3 linked regions of the Medicago truncatula genome follow. Each later gene encodes a partner of the first gene's protein in a complex. Links are inferred from orthologs where the notes say so. Each region holds a gene or a part of one and is shown in the gene's direction. Other genes may lie near its edges. The genes, in order: THO complex subunit 1, THO complex subunit 3 and THO complex subunit 5A.

Region 1 (7,549 bases):
AAAACATCCAACAATCACATATATACAAATATATGCATATACTCCACGTAAACCACCAAACATCATATATAATAATATATATACATACTCCACATAATAAAATAATTAAATAAATAACTAGGGCGTTACAATAAACATCGCAAAATAGATTCTAGTTTTTTTTATAAAGTTTGTTTGGAAACAACTATATAAAAGTGATTTTTTGTTACAAAATAATTAGTTCAATCTTTTGACTCATATTTTCTCTCTTTTTAGAAGTTACTCTTAACAACTTCTAATTTGAAGTTGTTTTTAGATTTTTTTTTAAAAGTGTTTTTTTCATAAAAAAACTAAACAAACTTTTATTTTGATTTGTAACTAACAAACTCTAACCCTAACATGCCGTTTACTCAAATTCATTTTCATTTAACCACATCTGAAACAGTTTGTATGTGTATTAATTTACAAAGGTACATTGACAATTTATAATTGGCTAAACTGCACTTTTCGCCTCTTAAATTTTAAAATGTTACGATTTTGGCCTCCTATTAAAAAAAAAAAAAAATTTCAGCCTTTTTCATCCTAAAATTGCTGAGAAGACACCACGTGTCCCAAAAAAGGGGTCATATTCGCAACTTTTTGTAAAGATAAAGGGTCAAAAAGCATATTTCCCTTATGTTAGGGGTCAAAAGAGCATATTTCCCTAAACATGGGGTCACTTTTGCCATTTTTTTAATAGGGGTCAAAATCGCAACATTTTGAAACTTAGGGAGCAAAAAATGCATTTTAGCCTTTATCATTTTTAACTGTTTTGTTGGTTTCATGATTAAAATTCAACATCAAAAGTAAATAAGTGAGAAATTTATAGTTCAAACTTTGATAGCTCATAACAATATATCAACCACCCCAAAAAAACAACTTATTAATCTTGTCAAAAATAAAATAAAGTGCATGGATGGAATTTTAGTGATATGTTGTGTTGAGTAGTCGTTGTTCTCTACTTCTCTCTTTCAGCTTCAGTTCAGCAGTTAACAAAGTAATAATATTTTGCTTTTCGTATCACCAAGTGCATTTTCGAGAAACTGACATGTTCAGTATAGTCAATGTTGCAGTAAACTATTAAATCAAAACAAGAACTTTTACTATTTCAAAGACTAAGATTAGTAGTACCAACTAGACTATCTGGTCTATTATCAGTTAAGTACAACAGATATCCAATCATTGCTTCATATTTTTAGAAATAATTTTTTCTAAGAAGATCTTTAATGTATTTCTCTTGACAAGTTAATTTTTTTTTTTTTTTTAACGACAAAATTTATTAATAACCAAATTCATGTGATAGGTCAGCAAGTGCATAGAAATATCGATTTTAATATAAAAGATTTCGAATCCCACAATACTTGAAGTACCATTATCTATTGTTGGTCAAAAGAAAAAAAAAAGTATCGTTATCTATTGTCATGTTGTTTATCTAAGGTAGTGCTAATTAGTTTGATTGCGAAATTAGAAAATTAACTTGTTTTTAATTATTTTTATGACAAGAGACAAGAATATAATTTGTGTCGATCGCGAATACTTGTTAAGTTATATTTTATTATTGTAACAGGAAAATATTTTCGTGCTTAAAAGGATTAAATTAAAGAGGCTGCTACACTTTTGCGTGTGCGACACCGAATTTCGACTTCGTAATCTATTTGACCTCTTTCGCGCGTACGCATTACAACTTTAAAATTTAGTTTGAAAAATAATCAATTTTTGCGTGAAAAGTTATTTTTAGTAGAAATTTAATTTAAAGGTTCTGTTTACTTTCGCATAGCTGAAACCATATTTTAAAACTCACAGAAGCTCGCTTTCGCGTGTCCAGCTACAAGTTTAAAATGACTTTTGAAAATTAGTAATTTCTAAATTAATTAAAGAAAATGCTCTGACTGTATTTTAAAATCAATTCCTAAATCTTCTACGATACATGTTTCACTCTTTCAAGATGAAATGAGTATCACATTATTCCAATTTTCAATGTTAAAATTCAATGTTAAAAATAAAAAAATTTAGACTTAAATATAATTTCTCTTACAATTTCTAATCATACAACTTAACATAGATAGGACGTTCATCCTATACCGAACTCTATAAAAATATACTCAAGACATAGTAATTATAATAAATAGACTTTTATTCATCCCATTGATCATCATTGAAACAGAGAATTCAAAGAAACAAAACGTGAATCAATATGAGCAAAGTGGACAAAACCTGTTAGTGATGGCTACTCTAAAATGAAAAGAAGGAAGGCACGGCAATAGTCACTCGTAAACCGCAGCAACAGGAAGAAATAGAACAGCAGCAACAATTGGATTTGGAATCGGTAATGTACTTGAAATAAATATGATCAAGTACAAGCGATAATTTAAGTTTGAGGTTATGATGACAGGTCATGCAACGTTATTTTTAGTATAATTTTGAGTTAGTTTAGTAGATAAAAAATTAAGTCATTATAGAGGATTTTAGAGAAGTTGTTCATGGTTTAAGAGACATTTTGTATCGTTTTCAATTGAGCCATATAATTATGTTTCTTCCCTAAAGTCTAAACTAGATAATTTCATAGGTGGTTTGAGTCTTTTATTACAAATCATTTCTTTTCTTTTTAGCAAAACATAATATTCATACACTACAATAATAACAAAGATCATTGACTCAACAAAAACATAAATAAAGTCCCTTATATTTAATAAAAATAAAGTTATTTGATTTAAAAAAAGCATAAGTAAAGCTCATCATATTCAACAAAAACACAATACTTAGGGTTTTTTCTTAGGAAGTTGAATGATATTAAGGTTATTTATGTAATTTACTCTGTTTAATAGTGGTATGAATATCCGCGGGTATGGATACCGTTAAATCCGCATCTGTATCCATTAATTAGCGGATAGTTAAAAAATCTGTTTATTTTATTCATGGATATCCATTAAGGTATCCGCTCCGTGCCCGTGGCGGATTTTATCCGCGGATATCCGTGGGTGCAGATTTTTTTGCCATCCCTACCTGCGAGAATGTAAGTCCTCACTTTAATAACAGTATCAATGTGTATGGAAGCCTAGAGGAGTGACGATCCTTCATCATAGTGCACATATAACCTTTAGGATGATGAGGAGCAACGTGACATCTAGAGGGATCTGTCAAACGAAGTTAACCACTTTTATATAATCTTTAGCTCATAATAGATAGACATTTTTGCATTAAGTCAAACAAAAGAGGTGAATGAGATTTGAAGGATCCTAATCGCTCTTAATAATATGAATCAACACTTTTTTAATTTTTTTGCAATCGAATCAACCCGCTTTGCACATATCAAACAAAACTTGAAAACTCCCTTCATTTTACTGATTTAATTATATGTTTAGCAAAATGCCTAGTCGAAACAACAATTCATGTGGAGATGATAGTTTACTATTGTATTACTTGGAATAGTTTGATGGAGTTGTCAAATTTGTATTCAACACCCTCCTCCAAGGGCGTCTAAGGTTTTATCGGATGATCATAAAGGTGTGGTTCCTCTTTTGTCGGATGCTTCTCCTCTTTTAGTTATGCTGTAATATTTTTTCAAGGGTAGTTTTTTTTAGTCAAGTTTTCAACGGTAGTTTTAATGTAGTTTTTTTTTTTTTTTTTGGCTTAAGCATCGTTTAATACAAAATAAATGAATAAATGACATACAAACAAATATGCTTCGACTCGCGGTCCGTGTGGAGCAAGAACTTTTAGGGTGTATTTGAATTGCTAATTTACGAGAGGAAAAGAGAGAAATACTTACTTCTCTTTTTTAAATTACAGACAATATATATTTTTAAAATAAGTTGAATATGATTGACATATTATTTGATATTTTTTTTATTATTTAAATTTTTATAAATATAAAATTTTTTGAAGGATAGAAAAATATTTTATAGACACCTATATATTTGTAGTTTTTTTTTGAAGGAACGTATATATTTGTAGTTGGAATTTTTTGTTTGAAATAGAAATACACACCCTACCAAAATAAAAACATAGGGGGTGTTTGTTTCAAGGTTAAGAATGACATTTCCGAGAATACATGGCTAGGGAATGATTATACCCATGTTTGTTATGAGGTTGAGAAAAAAATATTCCTAGGTATAAAGGTTCTTGAGAATGGAGTAACCTCCCATAACTTCCATTATTCCCATGAATTTATTCCCATGTAAAGAGATGGAAATGTGCATTCCCATGATATTATGCATAGATTTTAAAAAAAAAATTGTAACTTCCAATTTTTCCAGGAATGTCAAGTTATCTGCCAAACACTTTTTTTAACAAATACCCAAGAATCAAATTTTCATATTTTCATTCTCGGATATGTTATTTATGTTTCCCAAAAACAAACGCCCCAATACAGTTTTTTTAAGGACAAAAAAACAACATACAGTTAAACGCAGCGTTTTGGTGTTTAGTGTTTTTCTCAAAACAAATCACTCTCTTTCTTTCTTGCTTTGTTCCAATTCAATTCAACTCTACAGAATCACAATTTCTTAAAAAAAAAAAAAAAATCAATTCTTCTAACCATTATTCAACGCTTTGAGGTTCCATTGAATAAGGGTTTGTGTTCAATTCAAACTCCATAATGGTAAGTTCCGTTTTTTCTTTTGTTCCTTTTCACAATTCAATTTTCAGTGAAAACATTGGCACAAAGTTTCAATTTTTTGGATAATCCCTTATACCCATTTGTTTATATAGCTTAATTAATTGTTTATTTATTGATTGGTTATAGGTTTTGGGTTTATATAGGGAAGTAGATTATTTGTTTATTAGAGCTTAAGCTTATAGTATCAAAATAGGGTCCTGTTTGGATAAACAACTTAATTTACTGCTTATAGTATAAACACTTATCATCTATAAGCGCTTATTACAAGTTATTTCTATGGCAAAAGGTAAAAAAAAAGTCGAATTGTTTTCGATAAGCTGTTTTTGTAAGTGTATGTTTGATTTTGCCAATGAATTGATTCTGGCTAAAATTGAGTTGAATGTAAAGTGATTTATGCTTGGATACATTGATGTAAAAGTGAGTTCAGCAACAAATTTGAGTGTAAAAATTAATTCTAGAATCAGAAGCTACAATTTCTAGATTCAAGTAGAATCTATTATACTTTAAGAGGAACCAAACATGTCAAAATCAATTCTACACCTCTATAACCAATTTTGTCTCCTCCAAAAGTGGAACCAAATATACACTGCGTCATCCTTCAGAGCTGCTTAAAACAACATACACGTCATAAGCTGTTTTCATAAGTTCTCTCAAACATTCTCACAATTACTTATGCCAGTAGATAAACTCAAACAAGTCAAAACAAAGAGGCCCTAGATAATGCTTTTTGCGCATTATTCGATTGTTGAATTCATTGGTTGTGTTGTTTTGTTTGGTTTATTGTTATTTGCAGGAGGTATTTAAAAGGGCCATATTACAACCGGGGCCACCTGAAAGTTTTGCTTTGCAGACTGTTCAAGAAGTAATACAGCCTCAGGTATATTTTGAAATTCTTTTGAGCCAGTTTGGATTAGCCTCTAGTTCATTGAAGATTCCCCATTAAAATTCATTGCTTACAAATTTTTTCATATAAGCTTGTAAGTGTTGATGGAGAAGTTTATCAAAACTGCCTCTAACTCCATTCCTGTAGAGTCCTAGTACAAATTTATAATGAACATTGAACAATGCTGAACTAATTTCCAAACGAGTAATGACATGTGTACACCTATTTTGCGACAACTTTTGGGACAACCTTCTTCTTCTCTCTTTTTATTTCAAAACATGTAATAAGTTGTTTCTATAAGCTCTGCCAAACAGTCTAACAATTGTTTATGCCAGTAGATAAACTCAAATAAGGCAATCCAAACACGCCCTTGATCATGCATATCATTCTGATGGCTTATTTTCGATTTTCTTTGGGATGGGATGATATTCTGGATTTTACAAAATAAAGAGATTTGCATTTAGGGAACAGTAAGGAAAAAGGCGAGAGACTCTTAAATTTCAAAAGGGTTTTGATTATGGGATATCTATAACTTATGAAAAATATAACATGGTTGTCTTTTGACTTAAATTGTTCATTCATGATTCATGTCCCGAGGTTCCTTTTCTAGTAACTTTGATAATGACATTGTTAAAGGTTGTGGTTAATTTAATTGATTTATGATTAACAGAGACAAACAAAATTGGCCCAAGATGAGAACCAATCCCTAGAAAACATTCTACGGCTATTACTTCAGGAATTCGTGGTATGTTTAACTGCTACCCTTGCTCATAGATGACACCTTATGTGCTAGTCGAATAAAGAATGATAATCTAATTGGATTTCTACAAATTTCTTTGGAAAAATCCAATAGTGTTTTATCTTTTTTTCTTTTCTTTGGTGTGTCTATTATGCATGATTATGATACTAAATTTATTTTATTTTTTCTGTTAAAGATTTGGTCATGAGCCAAATTCTTAGTTTAAAGGTAGACAGTATTGCTATAATTCTATGTTAAAGAACACGAGAGTTCTTAGGAGATGTGAGAGATATTTAGACACTATATTTTACTAATCACATAGAAGAATGGCTTTTGGACCACCAATATTCACGTAAGGACCCACTGTCCCTATACATGGATGCCGCCTACGCCTGCGTAAGGTCGCGTCCCTTTCCTTATCCCCCGAAACCATCATGCCCGAACCTCTAGGCCAAATATTCGGCCAGAATATCCGGATTTAGGGGGATACACGTGTTTCTCCTTATCTCGTGTGACTTAGGGATTAAGTCACGGAATAAGAGGCCTAATTAGGCTATAATAATCCCCTTGAGACCATTCTCAAGGCATGACCTAATTAGATACTAAACCCTAGTTTCAGTATTGTACTCACTGCAAGTACAGTTTGATGCATAATACCGACCTTATAGATTTTCTTATGCTAATACAGTGGTTATGGAATGATACTTATTTGGTTATACCCTTTACTTTGGGAACAATGCAATCATTACTCATTAGTAAAGCAGTTTCCTTGTTACTATACTTTAATGTCAGTTTAACTATTTTGGCATTCAAATTTCAATGCTTATTTTCTTTCTCAGTAAAGTTAGACATGTTTTTCATCTGGGATGCATGTTTTTTATGACACATTCAGTTTGTTTTCTTGCTAGTGCATGTATTTACTTACCATTGACTTGCATATTTTTAAGTGTTTTCTTTTTACTCTTTTATTTATTTTGAATTCACATGTAGTGTATAGTTTATCAAATGGTAAAGTAAGCAGTGTTTTCAAGATGCTTAGATGACTTGTATAAAGTAAACTGTAAACTAAGAAAAGCATTTTCAGAAAAACCATTTCAAATATAAACTTATCTAATGCTGTTTCTTTTCCCCTCTTTGTTTTCTTGTTTCATTGTTTATGTCTCTTTATGGCCTGTATTAATATGTTCACACTCTGGTTCAGTCGGCAGCAGTACAGTGTGGGGAGGAAGTAATGCAATACGGGCAATCAATTGATGCTAATGAAACTACCCAAGGCCACATTCCTCGTCTT
Region 2 (7,188 bases), about 24 Mb from region 1:
AAGTGAGCTATATAATTTATTCAAAGATGCAGGCAATCAATGTGCAAATGATTTGCTCCTCCATAAGCTTAAAATAAAGACTAAATCAAAATTTTAAAAAAATTAAAAGAGCTACATAACTTATTAAATTGTAAAAAATAATCAAACATTCCCATCATACACTTCTTAGTTACTTGAAATGAATGAAAGAGTGTGAAAGCAATCAAATGCTCCAACTAAATTATTAGTAGATTGACAAATTGCCTAACTACTTCTCAAATTCATATGTATAAAAAGTAGCATGCATATATACATATTGATTTGTCATTGTGATGATCGAAATGAGTTCAACAAATAAATAAATCATAAACCAAACAACACTTTCTTCTATGTAATTATAATAATTACTAACATAGACAAAATTATATCAATTAAGCATAGAAAAACCAAGAATAATTATAGTCCTAGATTGATATGGAATGAGCCTTGTATCGTCCAATTGAAGTCAGTCTAAATTCTTGGGATATAATATGTAATAAATCAATGAAGTAGTTAAAATAGAAGCTAAACACTGAGCTTAATAGGAACTATATCAAAGCATCCCAAACTAAAATAAAAATTAGCATCAATATTTTAACACATATCCAATATAAATCAAGGGGGTGTTTGTTTCTAAGGAAAGATAGTGAGGGGGTGGGAAAGTTGAGGGAAAAAAAGAGTTTCCCTTGTTTGGAACAAAGGAACATATGACAAAGGAAAGAAACTGAAATATGGGCCCCACAAAAATATTCTTTCCGCTCAAATTTGTGAAGAAAGTGGGAGTGAACAAATTTTTAGACTGAAAAGACAGTATAGCCCTTATTTTATCATCTATAGTCCCATGTTAATTTTTCTAATATATACACCATTATTTTTCTAAAAATGGCAAATGTGCTTTGTGCAATTAACGTGCAGTCATAGTTCTTCTTCAAAGTACCTAATTTTATATTTGATTTTATTAAATAAACATATATTTCTACATGTTGATATGCATGTGAATTACCATCTTTATATAAGGGTATTTATGTCATTTACTAAATATACATCTTTCTTTCGTTTCACTCTTTCACTTATTCCAAACAACCGAAAAAACATCTTACTTTCCTTTCACGTTCTATTCGCTTTCATTCCTTAATCATTCTATCCTTTTACTTTCTTTCCTCTCACCATCCAAACACAACCTAAAATATTCAACCTTTTGTTTATGAGAGGAATTCCAATTGAATGTTAGAGACCAAGAACATTTTTGTTTATTGAAAAAGCCTTCACCGGAACAAAAGAAACCAACACGTCAACATAGCAAACATTTTTTTTTACTAAAGGAAAATCTTTAATTAAAAAACAAATAAAAATATTGAATATCGCATAGGTGCACATCTAATAACGCATAAACAACAATAAACAAACTAATTAGAATTGGTTTATACATAATTCTAATTAAAGGAAAAGAAAAAACATAAGGGGAGAGCTCAAAATTAAAGAAAATTAAATGACACTAAGAAATTTTGAAACAAACGATAAACCTCTTTTTAGTAATTGCTTCCTTCATTGATAAACCCCTTATTCCCCTTTTACCAATGCATCCACATTATCCCTGTGATTCACTGTCCAAAAATAACCAAGGAAATAAAAATAAAATTAGCACCAAATGTAGTTTTGATGATAAGAGAAAGGAAAAAAACTTTCAATTGTGGGCGCCGTTGTGAACATGCTGAAAGAGAAAAAAACATAGAGGAATAGAAGAATTACAGTGTTTTTCCAACAATCTTAAACGTCGACATCGTTGCCGAATTCAATTAAGTATTTGGTGACGTGGACTCATAAGTGGAGAGAAGAGACAAGAAGAGGAGTGTAGTTATCGTAATATGTGGTGTATGGTGGTAGAATTAATGATTTATAGTTTATGTTGAATTAGTTTTAAAGAAGGGATGATGGAATTGAGGAATAATCCAATTGTGATATGTTATGTTATTGTTCGCAGGATGGAACGAGGATGACAAAGGAGTTTATGACATGAGTGTGTCTATATATATAAAGTTTATTAACTTAAGAACCTCATACAGATTAGGGTTGTATCAATGGTTAGAAAGAGAGAAATTCAAATTTAAAACATACATATAGAAGGTCACCAAGTATTGGGTGTTGGTCTATATGGCCAATAAAGATGCGCGCTAGAGGGGGTGAATAGCGATTTAAAAAGTTTACGGAGTTTTGGCGAAAGCGTTTTGAAAGATATTGACTTATTAGAAATATGCTTTGAACAATCACAAACTTTGACAAATTGTTAAGACCATGCACTAATAAGATTTGCAATAGAATTGAGAGATTCATAAGCTAAATCTTATTTCAATCAATTATTAATAATACTTGAACAATTTGCAAAACAAGACAATTGCACAATCAAACCTATAAGAAAATATAACAAGCTAAACATTAAAAACACAATGTATATGCAATTGATGAATTGCTGAGAATTGAAACTAATTGATCCAAGTGAAATAGTAAAAACATAACTCGAGGAATTAGGCCAATTTTAACCAAAAAGGAACTTAGATCAAAATCAATTTCTATCCTATCAATTTAAGCATATACAATTATCAAAATTAAAGAGGATAAGGAAAATAGAACAACACCGAGATTTTTATAGTAGTTCGCCCTTTCGTCCTCGTTTCGGGCTACGTCTACACTTCTTGATGAAAAACACTTCCACCAAGGACTTCCACTAATAGTAACAATGTTGAATTACAAATGTGATTACAAGAGTTCCTTAAAACTATCCTGGTTCTTCAACCCCTATGTAACCACTCCCTCAAACTTCAAATACCCTTTGAATTTGGTGCTTCTTGATGTCTTTGAATCCTCAGATACCCGTGCAATCCTTCAAGCTCTTCACTCAAGCTCTTCGATGCTACGTCCGACAAATGGATCCCCTTGAACACAAGAACAATTAGAAAGAACCCTCAAGACCTTTGGAGGTGGAATGAGATTATTCACCTCACTTTAGAACCTTGATTAAGCCCAATCAATTTTCTTGAAAGAACCAACTTACAATCTCTATCCCTAGAAAATCATATGACTCAAAGAACAAAGTGATTCTAAGAAAAAGTGTTTAATCTTGAAGAATTTATGAACAATGAGTTTTTGAGACCTAGAGAGAATAAATGCAAATGATTCAATACCTTGGGTGTTATGAGGAAGTGAATATATATAGAATGGGATGACAAGTGCAAAATTTCGGCAAAAAACAACATAGTGAATCGATTCAGACAACAAGAGGACACACCAAATGAACTATGATAATTGATATGATTCAAACATAATTTGAATCGATTCAAAGTGCCCTGAAGATTGAAACGATTCAAATTATACTAAATCGATTCAATATAAGTCATAAAGTTTTGGTGATACAATTCAGGCAAATTTGACTCGATTCAAAATATCATGAAACGATTCACCCCAAGTCAGAGACTTTAGGTGATACGATTCAAACATAAATGAATCGATTCAGACAACATAAACTTCAATTTTGACGGTAAAAATGAGATTTACCTAGTCATAACTCATAAGCTAACTAGAACACAAGGAATCACACAATACAAAGATACACATGTTGCTTGGGTGCTTTAACATAATCTAAGCTAAACTATCAAAGGAACAACATGCTAAATAACAAGCCACCAATTATTAAAGACATCATCAAATTAACCCAAGACACATCATTAAAACAACTATGTCAAGACAACTTCATATCATCAAATTAACTTTTACTAAGACAAATTTAAAACTAAAAAAACTAAAAAGGATTAATCTTGTATAACGTAAGTAGGTATTTTGGCCAACCAAGTTGTTTGGACTCTAATGGCAAGGAACTCCTTTCAAGAACGTATCCGGGTTCGATTTTCAGGGAAACAACGCTTGACCAGTGCACATGCCTCTACGCATGAGTCAGATTAGTCGCTCACCATTGGTGGGTCGGAAACCGGTGCAAAAGCCAAAAAAAAATAAAATTAAAGTAGGTATTTGGCCTATAATATAATGGGAAATACCTAATACCACTACAAGTTTTTTCAACGAAAACCAAGAATAGGCTAGCATCCTCTTGTTTGGATATGAAACGAAAAACCAATAGTGTCGTAGCGGGAATCAAAAGTGTTTCCCAAAATTCCTAGCTTCGATTCCACCCACGAATCCGTACGACAATCACAGTTTCCGTGTCTCGTAAAAGTGCTTCCAAAGCCATGGAGGAACAATTCTCATTTAAGAATCTTCACAGCAGAGAGTATTCCGGTCACAAGAAGAAGGTACCCTTTTCCTCTCTCATTCCAAACACCTTCAAACTTCTGATTTTTTCCTACTTGTTAAGGTTTAATATCTAGGTTTATGTTGGAAAAAACCCTCTTTTCAATGTTTATGTTTCAATTCTGAAGCGGGTCTTTGTTTGTGTTTGAAAAGGTGCATTCAGTGGCTTGGAATTGCATTGGCACAAAACTTGCTTCTGGTTCTGTTGATCAAACTGCTCGAATTTGGCATATTGACCCACATGCCCATGTAGTAACCTTACTCCTAATTGCACTTTAATTTTCTATTAATTAATGTACTTTCTCATAAATCACAATATTAGTCACTGTTTAATTTTAGGCCTGTGCTAGTCTTATTATTTGGATTTATCTTATGAGACAAATATTTATATTATTAGTATTTGAATTTTGGATAGAATCATGAAAATATTCAATATCATGTCTATAAGTTGTTTCCAGTTTATTTCATTAGATTCCCATAATGACTTATGAATATAAAGTTTGATTAAGCTCCCTAGAGTAGTAGATCTTGAATAAGTGCTTAATTAAGTTGCTTACCTAGCGCACTGTGAATACACATCTTAGCTATATTGTAATGCTGTCGTAAAGAAATACAGTAGCTTTGCTGTTTGTAAAAGATTTGACTATTCAAGTTTCCCTTAAGTAATGGTATAGTATAATTTAAGATCTGCCCTTTTGAAATTACTGTAGGAAACTTTGATGAATTTTAAGTAATGCCCATTTTCACTTTTGATGAATGAGATTACATGACCTAAGAGGATTTGTCTTTGAGAACATATGTCTTTTTAACATATGATGTAGTTGCTTTGGTGACCTTCATGACCTAAAATGACAGTAATGTTAGAGTATTTTTCCATTAAGATTGAAACTTGTCGCATTAAATCAAGAAATACATGGCGAATTATGTATGATAAGATAGGAAATTGTTGTTGAAACTTGAAGCTATAGAGTAAACTAAGGCTGGCTGTTAACTTTTCCACGAGCATCTTTACAAACGAAGCATTTTGCGATGAGATTCTATTTCAGTTTTGGTTGCTACTTATATGTCACTGTAAATTATTTTATTTTTGTTATTTCTGGATTCAAATTTGATTGTTCCATTTTGGGTGTGTGGGGGTTATTATAGGGTAAGGTTAAAGATATTGAATTGAAGGGTCACACTGATAGTGTGGACCAGCTATGTTGGGACCCCAAACATCCCGATCTTATTGCAACTGCTTCAGGGGACAAAACTGTTCGTCTATGGGATGCTCGTAGTAAGTGATCATATTTAGCTATACAATTTATTTTAAATTAATCATACAGAAGGGAGGATAATTATTATGAGCTTTTATATTTTGGGAGACGTTTAATATAATCTACTGTTATTGCCGAATAAACATTAATGAATATTGAGATGCCCCTCATATTTGATTTCTGCAGGTGGAAAATGCTCACAACAGGCAGAGCTTAGTGGGGAGAATATCAACATCACCTACAAACCTGATGGTACTCATGTAGCTGTGGGTAATAGGGTATGTTACACAATCTCTTCATTTGCTTAAAGCTCGGAAGTGAAGATTTTCTGACCATGTCTGTACCTATTAGGGTACTCATGTAGCATATGTTTTTGAGTCGATTCTTTTTGGAATCATCGAGCTTTGTATTGTAGCTGCTAAATAGACCATGTCTGTACCTATTATTATCTTGCTGTTTTTCATCATGTGAAATCTTACTTTTTCTTTGTTTTTTTTATAGGACGACGAGTTAACAATACTTGATGTTCGGAAATTCAAACCAATGCACAGGCGCAAGTTCAACTATGAGGTATTGCATAGTTTTTGCTTCATTGTTGCAGTCTGTTCTGTTTTTTGACAGTTTTTTCAGACATATTTGGAGGTTACAAAATGAAATTGTTAAAAACCTATACAAGCAAAATGTGAAATTGGTAGAGTAGAGACAACCAGAAAAAATAAATAATTTTAATGAAATATTGAAAATAGGAGAAAGAATCTTCACTTAAGGCTTATTCCCCTTACAACTGAGCCACTGCTTTATTTACTCAATACTAACAATTCTCAGTGATGAGAATCATGTGCTCTGTGTACTAAATGCCAACACTGCTAACAAATTCCCCCTAACTTACTAGCTTACTGCTCTGGTTAGCCCTAACTAATTTCCCGTTCTCTTCTGTCGTAGCAGACACTAAACCTTGAAAATTATGAGCAACCAGTCTTTTTACCACATCCTTATCATTTTACAGAAAATATGAATGTGCTTTCTTTTTCAGTTTAATTGATAAAGTAACTCGTGAATATCCAGCTATCTTCGTTGAAATTTTACAGTTTGAGAAAGGGCTTAATTGTTGGATTGTGAAATGTGAATTACTTATAGTTATATCCCTTTTAATTGATAGAAATTTGCTTGTCAACTGGCATAACTAAGTGCCCTGGTGTCAAATCATTAGAATCGACCATGAATTTGCATGTCTGTTTTGTTTGAATTACAATTTTCATGCCTTGAAACCTGATCATCTGTTAAACCTAGAAAGAAGTGAAAGAACATCGTCTTTACTTACAGCCACGTCAGTGCAAGTTATAAGGATTCACCCTAGACAGAGACGAGTACAAATTACCAATTATATGTAGCTTATCACTGATTTAAGTATACAGTCACATTTGACTGTACATGTTCTTTGGCATTGTCACCGTAAATAGTCTTGTTCCTGCTTCACAGTAAATTGAGAGGCAGAGGAGGAATGCCATTGAATTATGATGGAAATTAAGTAAAACTGAGTACAATTCCAGAGCTACAGCTCCTCAGTAAAGAGAAAGTGTTTTCTCCTACTGCCTAACCGTAAGGTTCTAACAAA
Region 3 (7,712 bases), about 46 Mb from region 1:
AGCCCTTATTAAAAACAAGTGTGAGTTTGGTAGAGCAGAGTCTATTGCTGCTCTCTTAATTTGCTGCTCTCTTAATTTGCTGCATGTGCATTGGTCTATTTGGTAGTTTGCGTTATAGTGTCATGCTTATCTCACGAGTTCGTTGTTGCCAGAAATTCCCCATTCCCCCCATTCAGCATCTTTCTTCTTAAAGCTGCAACTACCTCAAACAACTCCCTTTGCCTCATTACTGTAAAAAAAGTTAATAAAAAAGTTGAAGAGTTATTTTATTGAGTAAATCATCATTTTTAGTCATTTAAATTGCAAGAGTAAGTTACTTTAGTCATTTAAATTTATGAACTAGTATTCAATTTAGTCCCTTCAAAATAAATTGAACGGTATCACTCAATTTAGACTTTTTAAAATAAGTTTGTTTTATGATTTTATATTTTTGTTGATACATTAAATCCTATTCAACTTAATAGGTATGTGTTACATAATTTTTTTTAGAGTTTTATCAAAGATATATTTTGATGGAATGACTAAATTGATTTCTTTATTTATTGGATCCTTTTAAACTCTATTTCAAAACTAAAAATCGTCTAATTTAGAGATCATTTTCACCGTTAATTAATGTTGATTCAACATGAAGTCAGAGTGAAACCATGAATGAATCGTCCTAATACATGAATTGTGTAATTTAAAACCAAGATTTAAAGATGAAACACTACTAAGGTTTTGTTTGGAAGTTTGAAGGGGAGGGGAAGGAAAAACATCGAGGGGAGAGAAATACAGGGGAAAATTGAGAAATCTTTCATATTTTTTGAAAGATTATTTTTTTAGAGACTGATAAATTAATACTTATGATTAATATATTTTTAATTTTAAGAATATTATAACAACATATATTAAATTTGAAGAATTTATATAAATCCTCACAAACCCCCCAAAACTCTCCTCTAATACAATTTTTTAGTTCTTCCAAACGATAAGGGTTTTATATATTTGAAGAAAAATAAGCCTCCAAAGCACCTCCTTCCAATGTCCTCTATTTCTTCCACTCACTCCTTCCTTTTTTTTTCCAAGCATTTCCTTCCTTTCCCTTCCGAACTCGCAAACAAAACCTAAATTTCTAACCTAGGAGTTCTTTATTTATGGGACTGACTTTGCTATTTTATAATTTTTAAAACTAAGTTGCTAAACTCTTACAATTTTAAGTACGAAAGTGATCATTTAATTGTTGTTTCATCCATACAACCAATGGTAATTTTAGTGTTCCCATAATACCTTTTAAAATTATGTGAAAACATGAAAACAAAAGAGGGAAATAGTGGTCCCCTGGTTCCTTATCTTGCTTCCCCTTTTATTTCTTTCTCTTATTTTTATTATTCTACGCACGAATCCAGAAATCAGAATTGCTTTCCTGAGTGCTACTGGATCAATTGCGTTAAATTCACCCCGATCACGTGTCCAAATTGAATTATTGGATTGTTCAATTAAAAAATTAAAATCAATCCAAACAAACATATCGTCCTGCTGCAAAAACTTAATGCTGCCAACATGTGTATGTATGCACATGAATGTGAATTCTTATTTCTTGCGCAAAGTCATTGAATTATTATGGCGAATAAATTTAAAATTTCTCAAAGAACTCTATAGCAGGCTCTAACACATATCTGTCATAGAGAATCCACTCACATATGCATATTATATAATCTGGTAATAAGTTGAAGCATGCTGAATGTTTGGTTTTATCTTCAAAATTTTAAAGCATGAAGTCCCACATTGTTAAGTCAAGAATTAAAAACAATTTTACTTATCTATTTAAACCCCCACCAACTAACAAATTGATTTAAGTTGAAGCATGTTAAGAACTGCTCTTGGAGCCTTAGTTGAAGAATTAAAAGAGCTACTCACTCCGGTCTCAAATCTAAGCAACTTTTCACTTTTTAAATTTATTCAATAAATGATGTATGTGGTCTAGTTGCTTACATTTGAGACCGGAGGGAGTAATTTTAAAAAATTTCTTAACTAATGAACCTAAACCATCTGTTAGCACAATTCTTTATATATATATATATATATATATATATATATATATATATATATATATATATGAGTCAGGATCCATTGCCATCAGTTGCATAAATCTAACAACTTACATCAAATCTTAGCCATTAAATACTAATCCAACGACTTATATTCGTCAAATTAAAAGTGAGACACATGCAATTGCCTCTCCTCCTTCTTCTTTCATAGTTTCCCAAATTTGAAGCAGAAATTTGGATCCATTCCTTCTTCTCTAACCGTAATTTTTGTTTTTTTTTGGGTTGAAATCATTCTTTCCAAAGTGCTCGTTTTAGATCTTCCATTAGACACAAACAAATCGGCTAGAGATTTTGATGCATATATTTAGACTAAATTCATGTCAATTTGTGGTTTATATACCCTTTAATGAATGAGATGGAATAAGACAATCAAGCTGTAAATATCACTTCCTCTGATCCAATCTCTTTCTTGGTCTATTTCAAAATTCCGATTGTTTGCCACAAGCGCTTTAAGTAAATTTAGGGCTAATCTTCCTAGAAATATTAATTCATACAATAAACAACTACAAAAAAGAAAAGCAACAATCGATGCATAACAAAACCATAATTAATTTGATAGGATTTCAATGTTTTGGATCAGAAGTTATACGTTTGTTTTTGTCAATTGGAGTTTGGAGGGCCGAAAGGATTGCTCAAGGAAGAGGAAACATTGAAAAGCGTCTCACAGTAATTGTAGCATCTTCCCTTAAAAAAAGTAATTCTAGCATCTATAATTTGAACCATTAGATTAATTAGATCTAATGGTTGAGATTTTGTGTAAGTCTTTCGACTTACATCTGGTGTCAATGAGAGCAAGAGAGAAGACGAAGTGGAGAAGAGGAAAGATAGGTTACAGTATATGACCCTTTTGAAAGAACAATTAAATCTGAGGTGTTGATTTTGATCTAACGGTCTAAATTAATTCCTCTCACCCTCTCATTATAAAATGTCCTCTCATTTGATATATATATAGGGTTAGGATCAAATGACACCATGGTGTCAAAATTAGTTTGACACCAAATCTCATCCATTCATTTCATTTAATCCAAAGGTTTAAAACTATCATCAAATTAATTAATATACACCAAATACTCTCTATCACCTAATTAAGAAACATATCTATCATCATTAATTTATAATCAAACATTCCATTTTTATTTTCCCAAATTTATTTGTTTCTCTTTTTTATTTCCCCAAATTTATTTGTTCCTCTTTTTTATTTCCCCAAATTTATAAATTTTCCCAGATTTCTATAATCATACTCAAACTTTTTTTTCTAAACTTTTTTATAAAATGAATGGTTGAACTCATATACCTATGGTTGTTTGCGTCATCATCACCATCAATGATATTTCTTTGTCTTTATCTCATATACTCATATTTTTTTTACTAATTAATTAAATTGTATTAAAAAAAACCAACAAGCTCGACAAATGATTCTTGAAATTGTTCATGCTAATTAGATTATTTTGTCACTCATAGGTCTAATTTTTTTTAGAGGACTCGTTGTGTCTCATGTTTAACTGAATTAAGATTTATCATGATTTTATAAAAATTATAAAGTTTGAGTTTGTGCTTATGGCCAAAAGAAAAAAATTAGGGGAAAATAAAAAGGGTTTGAATCTACCAAAAAAAAGAAGGTATTGTTTGATTATGAATTAATGATGATGAATATGTTTCTTAATTAGGTGATAGAGAATATTTGATGTATGTTAATTAATTTGGTGATAGTTTTAAGCCTTTGGATTAAATGAAATGAATGGATAAGATTTGGTGTCAAACTAATTTTGACACCATGGTGTCATTTGATCCTATCTCTTCCTATATATAAATAAAAGTTAAATCATTGATTATTTGTGTTAACCCTCACAAAACGAGACTATGGTAATTAGAGTTTTGCTGTGAGATAAATATAACCCGAATAAGGATTGTTTTATCCGAAAATCGAATTCAAAATTCAAGCTCTTTGAAACAATTCGTTTGCAGTGAAATTTATTAATCACTAGGGTTCGATCAGTTAATTAACTTAGGGTTAAATATGTTTTTTGTCCCTATAAATATATCAACTTTTCGTTTTAGTCCCTCTAAAATTTTCCTTCAACTTTTAGTCCCCATAAAAATTTTCAATCACTACTTTTGGTCCATATTTTTAAGTTAATTTTAGTATTTTTTTTTAATGAAATGTATAGAATATTGTAAAAATCTTTCCAAGAAAAAAAGAATTTTTTAACAAAACATAAATTTAATATGAATTTTTAACCATAAAAAAATATAAAAGTTCATATTAAATTCATGTTTTTGTTAAAAAATTCTAAATTTTTTGGAAGAGATTTTTATAATATTATGAATTTTTCTGCAAAATTTTATTCAAAAATATGAATTTTACATGTGAGTTTACTTTAAAGGTGGGACCAAAAGTGAAAATGAAATTTTTTTGGGATTAAAAGTTGAAAGAAAATTTAAGAATGATTAAAACGAAAAGTTGATATATTTATAAGGATCAAAAATATATTTAACCCAATAACTTACATCAATTTTTGTTGATTTATTTTGGAGTACTATACCTATTGCATAATTTTATTTTATTTTTTGTCGGAATTCAAAGCTTTTGTATAAGCTGATTTTTGCTTCGAAGGGGAAGAAGAAAGAAAAGGGTTTTAGGTCAAGCTGAGAACAAAAGAACAGAAAAAATGGAAGACGGTGAGATAGAAGAAGGTTCAATCGCCATGGAAGAACAAAACGAACAAGCCTTTCCCAATTCCTCAGAAGATTCCAAATCGGACGAAGAATCACCCTACGAATTGCTTCAAAACAGTAAATCTTCCATTGAATCAATCATCTCCGATATCCTCTCCATCAAAAAAGAAGCTAAACCTAAACAACTCCTTCGTGATCTCGTTACTCAAATGTTCCTTCACTTCATCACTCTTCGTCAGGTACTTAGGGTGTATCCAATTTCACAATTCAACTAAAAAATTACTGTTTCGATGATTTTAATTTTTGTTTTCTTCTCAATTTTATAGGCGAATCGTTCGATTTTGATTGAGGAGGATCGGGTTAAAATGCAGACAGAACGCGCGAAGGCGCCGGTGGATTTTACGACTTTGCAGCTTCATAATTTGGTGTACGAGAAAAGTCATTATCTTAAAGCCATTAAGGCTTGTAAAGATTTTAAATCGAAGTATCCTGATATTGAACTTGTGCCTGAGGAAGAGTTTTTCCGAGATGCTCCGAAAGATATAAAGGATTTGGTTTTGTCGAAAGATAGTGCTCATAATTTGATGCTCAAGAGGCTCAATTTCGAGCTATATCAGGTGAATATAAGATATTCTGTTGCAAAACATTACCTTGAATATTTTTGGCATTTTGTAATTAGCTTAGAAGGAATGTGCATTGTACATAGGTCCTGTTTGGATAAACAACTTATTTGCAGCTTATAGCATAAGTGCTTATCATGATTAGCAATAAGTGCTTATCTATATGAAATTTCTATATCAAAAGATAAAATAGTTAAATTATTTTTGTATGAGCTATAAGCTGTTTTCATAAGCTATCTTGGAGAACTTTTGAAAATAACCTGAACATAACTTACGAACAATGCCATAAGCTGTTTTCATCAGCTCACCCAAACAGTCTCTCAAAATTTATGCCAGCAGATAAGCTCAAATAAACCAATCCAAGCAGGCCCATAGTATTTAAATTTCAAAGAGAATGTGATATTTGTGATATTGGCAAAAGTTTATATCGCATTTCTATACAACATGCTTTTGTCCTCACCAAAAGATTTGTATTGATAAGCCTGCTATTGTGTTAGGAAAGGATTGTAGGATAAATACAGGGTTGGCTTGTGTTAATCTATATTTTTCTAGACATGTACAAATTTATATCCAATCCAATGTTACTTGATAAGTTGATATTTTGTTCTAAAGTTAAAAGTGTGTGTTGTGTGACCTGTCGATCAAACTGAATGTGGTTTTATATCAGGTTGGTTTGGCTTTAAGTATGCTGGTTGTGCTATTTTGAAGTTTAAAATTTCTTACTCTCCTTCATTCATTCATTCATCTTTTAGAGTTGTATTGATAATCTGATTTCTAAGTTTTCATGCAAATTGCATTAAATATCCTTACAATTCTTCTTATATGCAAATTTGTACCAGCGTAAAGAGCTCTGCAAACATCATGCAAAACTGGAACTGCAAAAGAAAATCCTTTTGGAGACTATTGCGAACCGAAAGAAGTTCCTGACAAGTCTCCCTTCACATCTTAAGTCTCTTAAGAAAGCATCCTTGCCTGTACAAAACCAGCTAGGAATTACGCATACAAAGAAACTAAAGCAGCATCATTCAGCAGAGTTGCTTCCACCGGCTCTTTATGTGATTTACTCACAGCTATTGGCTCAGAAAGAGGCCTTTGCAGAACCTATTGATCTGGAGATTGTAGGAAGCCTGAAAGATGCTCAAGCTTTTGCTCGCAGTCAAGCCAACAAGGACACTGGTAAGTTATAGCTGATACATGAATTTTAACATTCTTTGGATATACTATATAGTTCTATTGCTGCTGGCAGTGTATATTCTGACACCGGATTATATTTATATAAACGGTGGATTCTAAACTGAGGGCTCTATTAAGTCCCTCGCCGGTGAACCAGTTAAAAAATACAATTAGATCAAATCTGTGGTCCATATTTGTTACAAATTAAAATGAGAACAACAAAAAATTTCCACACATAATCTTAATCCCACATCTCTCATATGCGTGATTGTGTTTGTAGGAGTACCGGACCTTAAATCTCTAAACCTATTTTCCATATGTGGGAAAGTCTGCTTTGAAATTAAGAAACCCTTGTCAAATTACTTCATCGTCTCATTGTAAATCAGTAATGCTCAAGTTCCCCTTCTTGAAATTTAAATAGATTCACGGCATTTGTTTCATGTGGGGTGATAGACGTTTGGCAAGTGTACCAAATACTATCGAAGTAGTAAAAATATCGTTCCCACAAGGACTGGTTTTAATCTCAATAATTCAATTACGTTGTAAGTTAGGATGTATAGAAGTTATTTTGTTTGCATAAAAGTAACGACAAAAAGTAAAGATTGATTTTAAGAATAGGAGAGAGATGAGTTTAGGTCTTTCGAATCATCTATGTTCCCCTAATTGGTATACTGCACCTATTCTTGTGAATGCTTTTCTAGTTCACGATAGTTAGCAAAATAGTCCTAATCAATCCCTTGAGTTGGGACCCTCTTCTAGGGTTACAGCCCCTAATTCCTTAGGTGTTCTAATAACCTTTGAAGGTTTAAGCACGTTAACCTAATATCACTAATAAAGGATTATCCATTTCTAGACCAACCATGTTTATTAGAACAATTCAATTAGGTCTAAGTTGAAAGCTAGGGTCAGTAGTCATTCGTTCTCACTAAATCATGTTTATATATAAAAAGCATTAAGAACAATTGAATTGAATAAAAACTAGATTGTCATTCACAATAAATAGAGTTTCACAGCAACATGTTTCAATTAGGGTTACAAAGATATTCTCAGACCTAACCTCTAATGGATTTAGCTACTCATAATGGTGTTTACAAATAACCTAATCATTAGAGGAATCAATACATACATGAGCAGGTAAAAGGATGAAGAAATCGCC

What was found.
Region 2: THO complex subunit 1 (region 1) and THO complex subunit 3 share a complex: the UniProt entries of both Arabidopsis thaliana proteins name them as parts of the THO complex. The link is inferred for Medicago truncatula from reciprocal best matches to the Arabidopsis thaliana genes THO1 and TEX1.
Region 3: THO complex subunit 1 (region 1) and THO complex subunit 5A share a complex: the UniProt entries of both Arabidopsis thaliana proteins name them as parts of the THO complex. The link is inferred for Medicago truncatula from reciprocal best matches to the Arabidopsis thaliana genes THO1 and THO5.

What each region holds. Positions count from the first base shown.
Region 1 is NC_053044.1:3,850,013-3,857,561, reverse strand, and holds the start of THO complex subunit 1, read left to right. Parts: upstream 1-4,455; 5' UTR 4,456-4,615; coding exon 4,616-4,618; intron 4,619-5,429; coding exon 5,430-5,513; intron 5,514-6,189; coding exon 6,190-6,264; intron 6,265-7,459; coding exon 7,460-7,549. UniProt on the Arabidopsis thaliana protein: Acts as a component of the THO subcomplex of the TREX complex which is thought to couple mRNA transcription, processing and nuclear export. Contributes to the integrity of the endogenous trans-acting small interfering RNA (ta-siRNA) pathway.
Region 2 is NC_053044.1:27,732,632-27,739,819, reverse strand, and holds the start of THO complex subunit 3, read left to right. Parts: upstream 1-4,082; 5' UTR 4,083-4,256; coding exon 4,257-4,319; intron 4,320-4,470; coding exon 4,471-4,566; intron 4,567-5,463; coding exon 5,464-5,593; intron 5,594-5,759; coding exon 5,760-5,851; intron 5,852-6,074; coding exon 6,075-6,143; intron 6,144-7,188. UniProt on the Arabidopsis thaliana protein: Acts as a component of the THO subcomplex of the TREX complex which is thought to couple mRNA transcription, processing and nuclear export. Contributes to the integrity of the endogenous trans-acting small interfering RNA (ta-siRNA) pathway.
Region 3 is NC_053044.1:50,337,414-50,345,125, reverse strand, and holds the start of THO complex subunit 5A, read left to right. Parts: upstream 1-4,650; 5' UTR 4,651-4,756; coding exon 4,757-5,002; intron 5,003-5,089; coding exon 5,090-5,380; intron 5,381-6,222; coding exon 6,223-6,559; intron 6,560-7,712. UniProt on the Arabidopsis thaliana protein: Acts as a component of the THO subcomplex of the TREX complex which is thought to couple mRNA transcription, processing and nuclear export.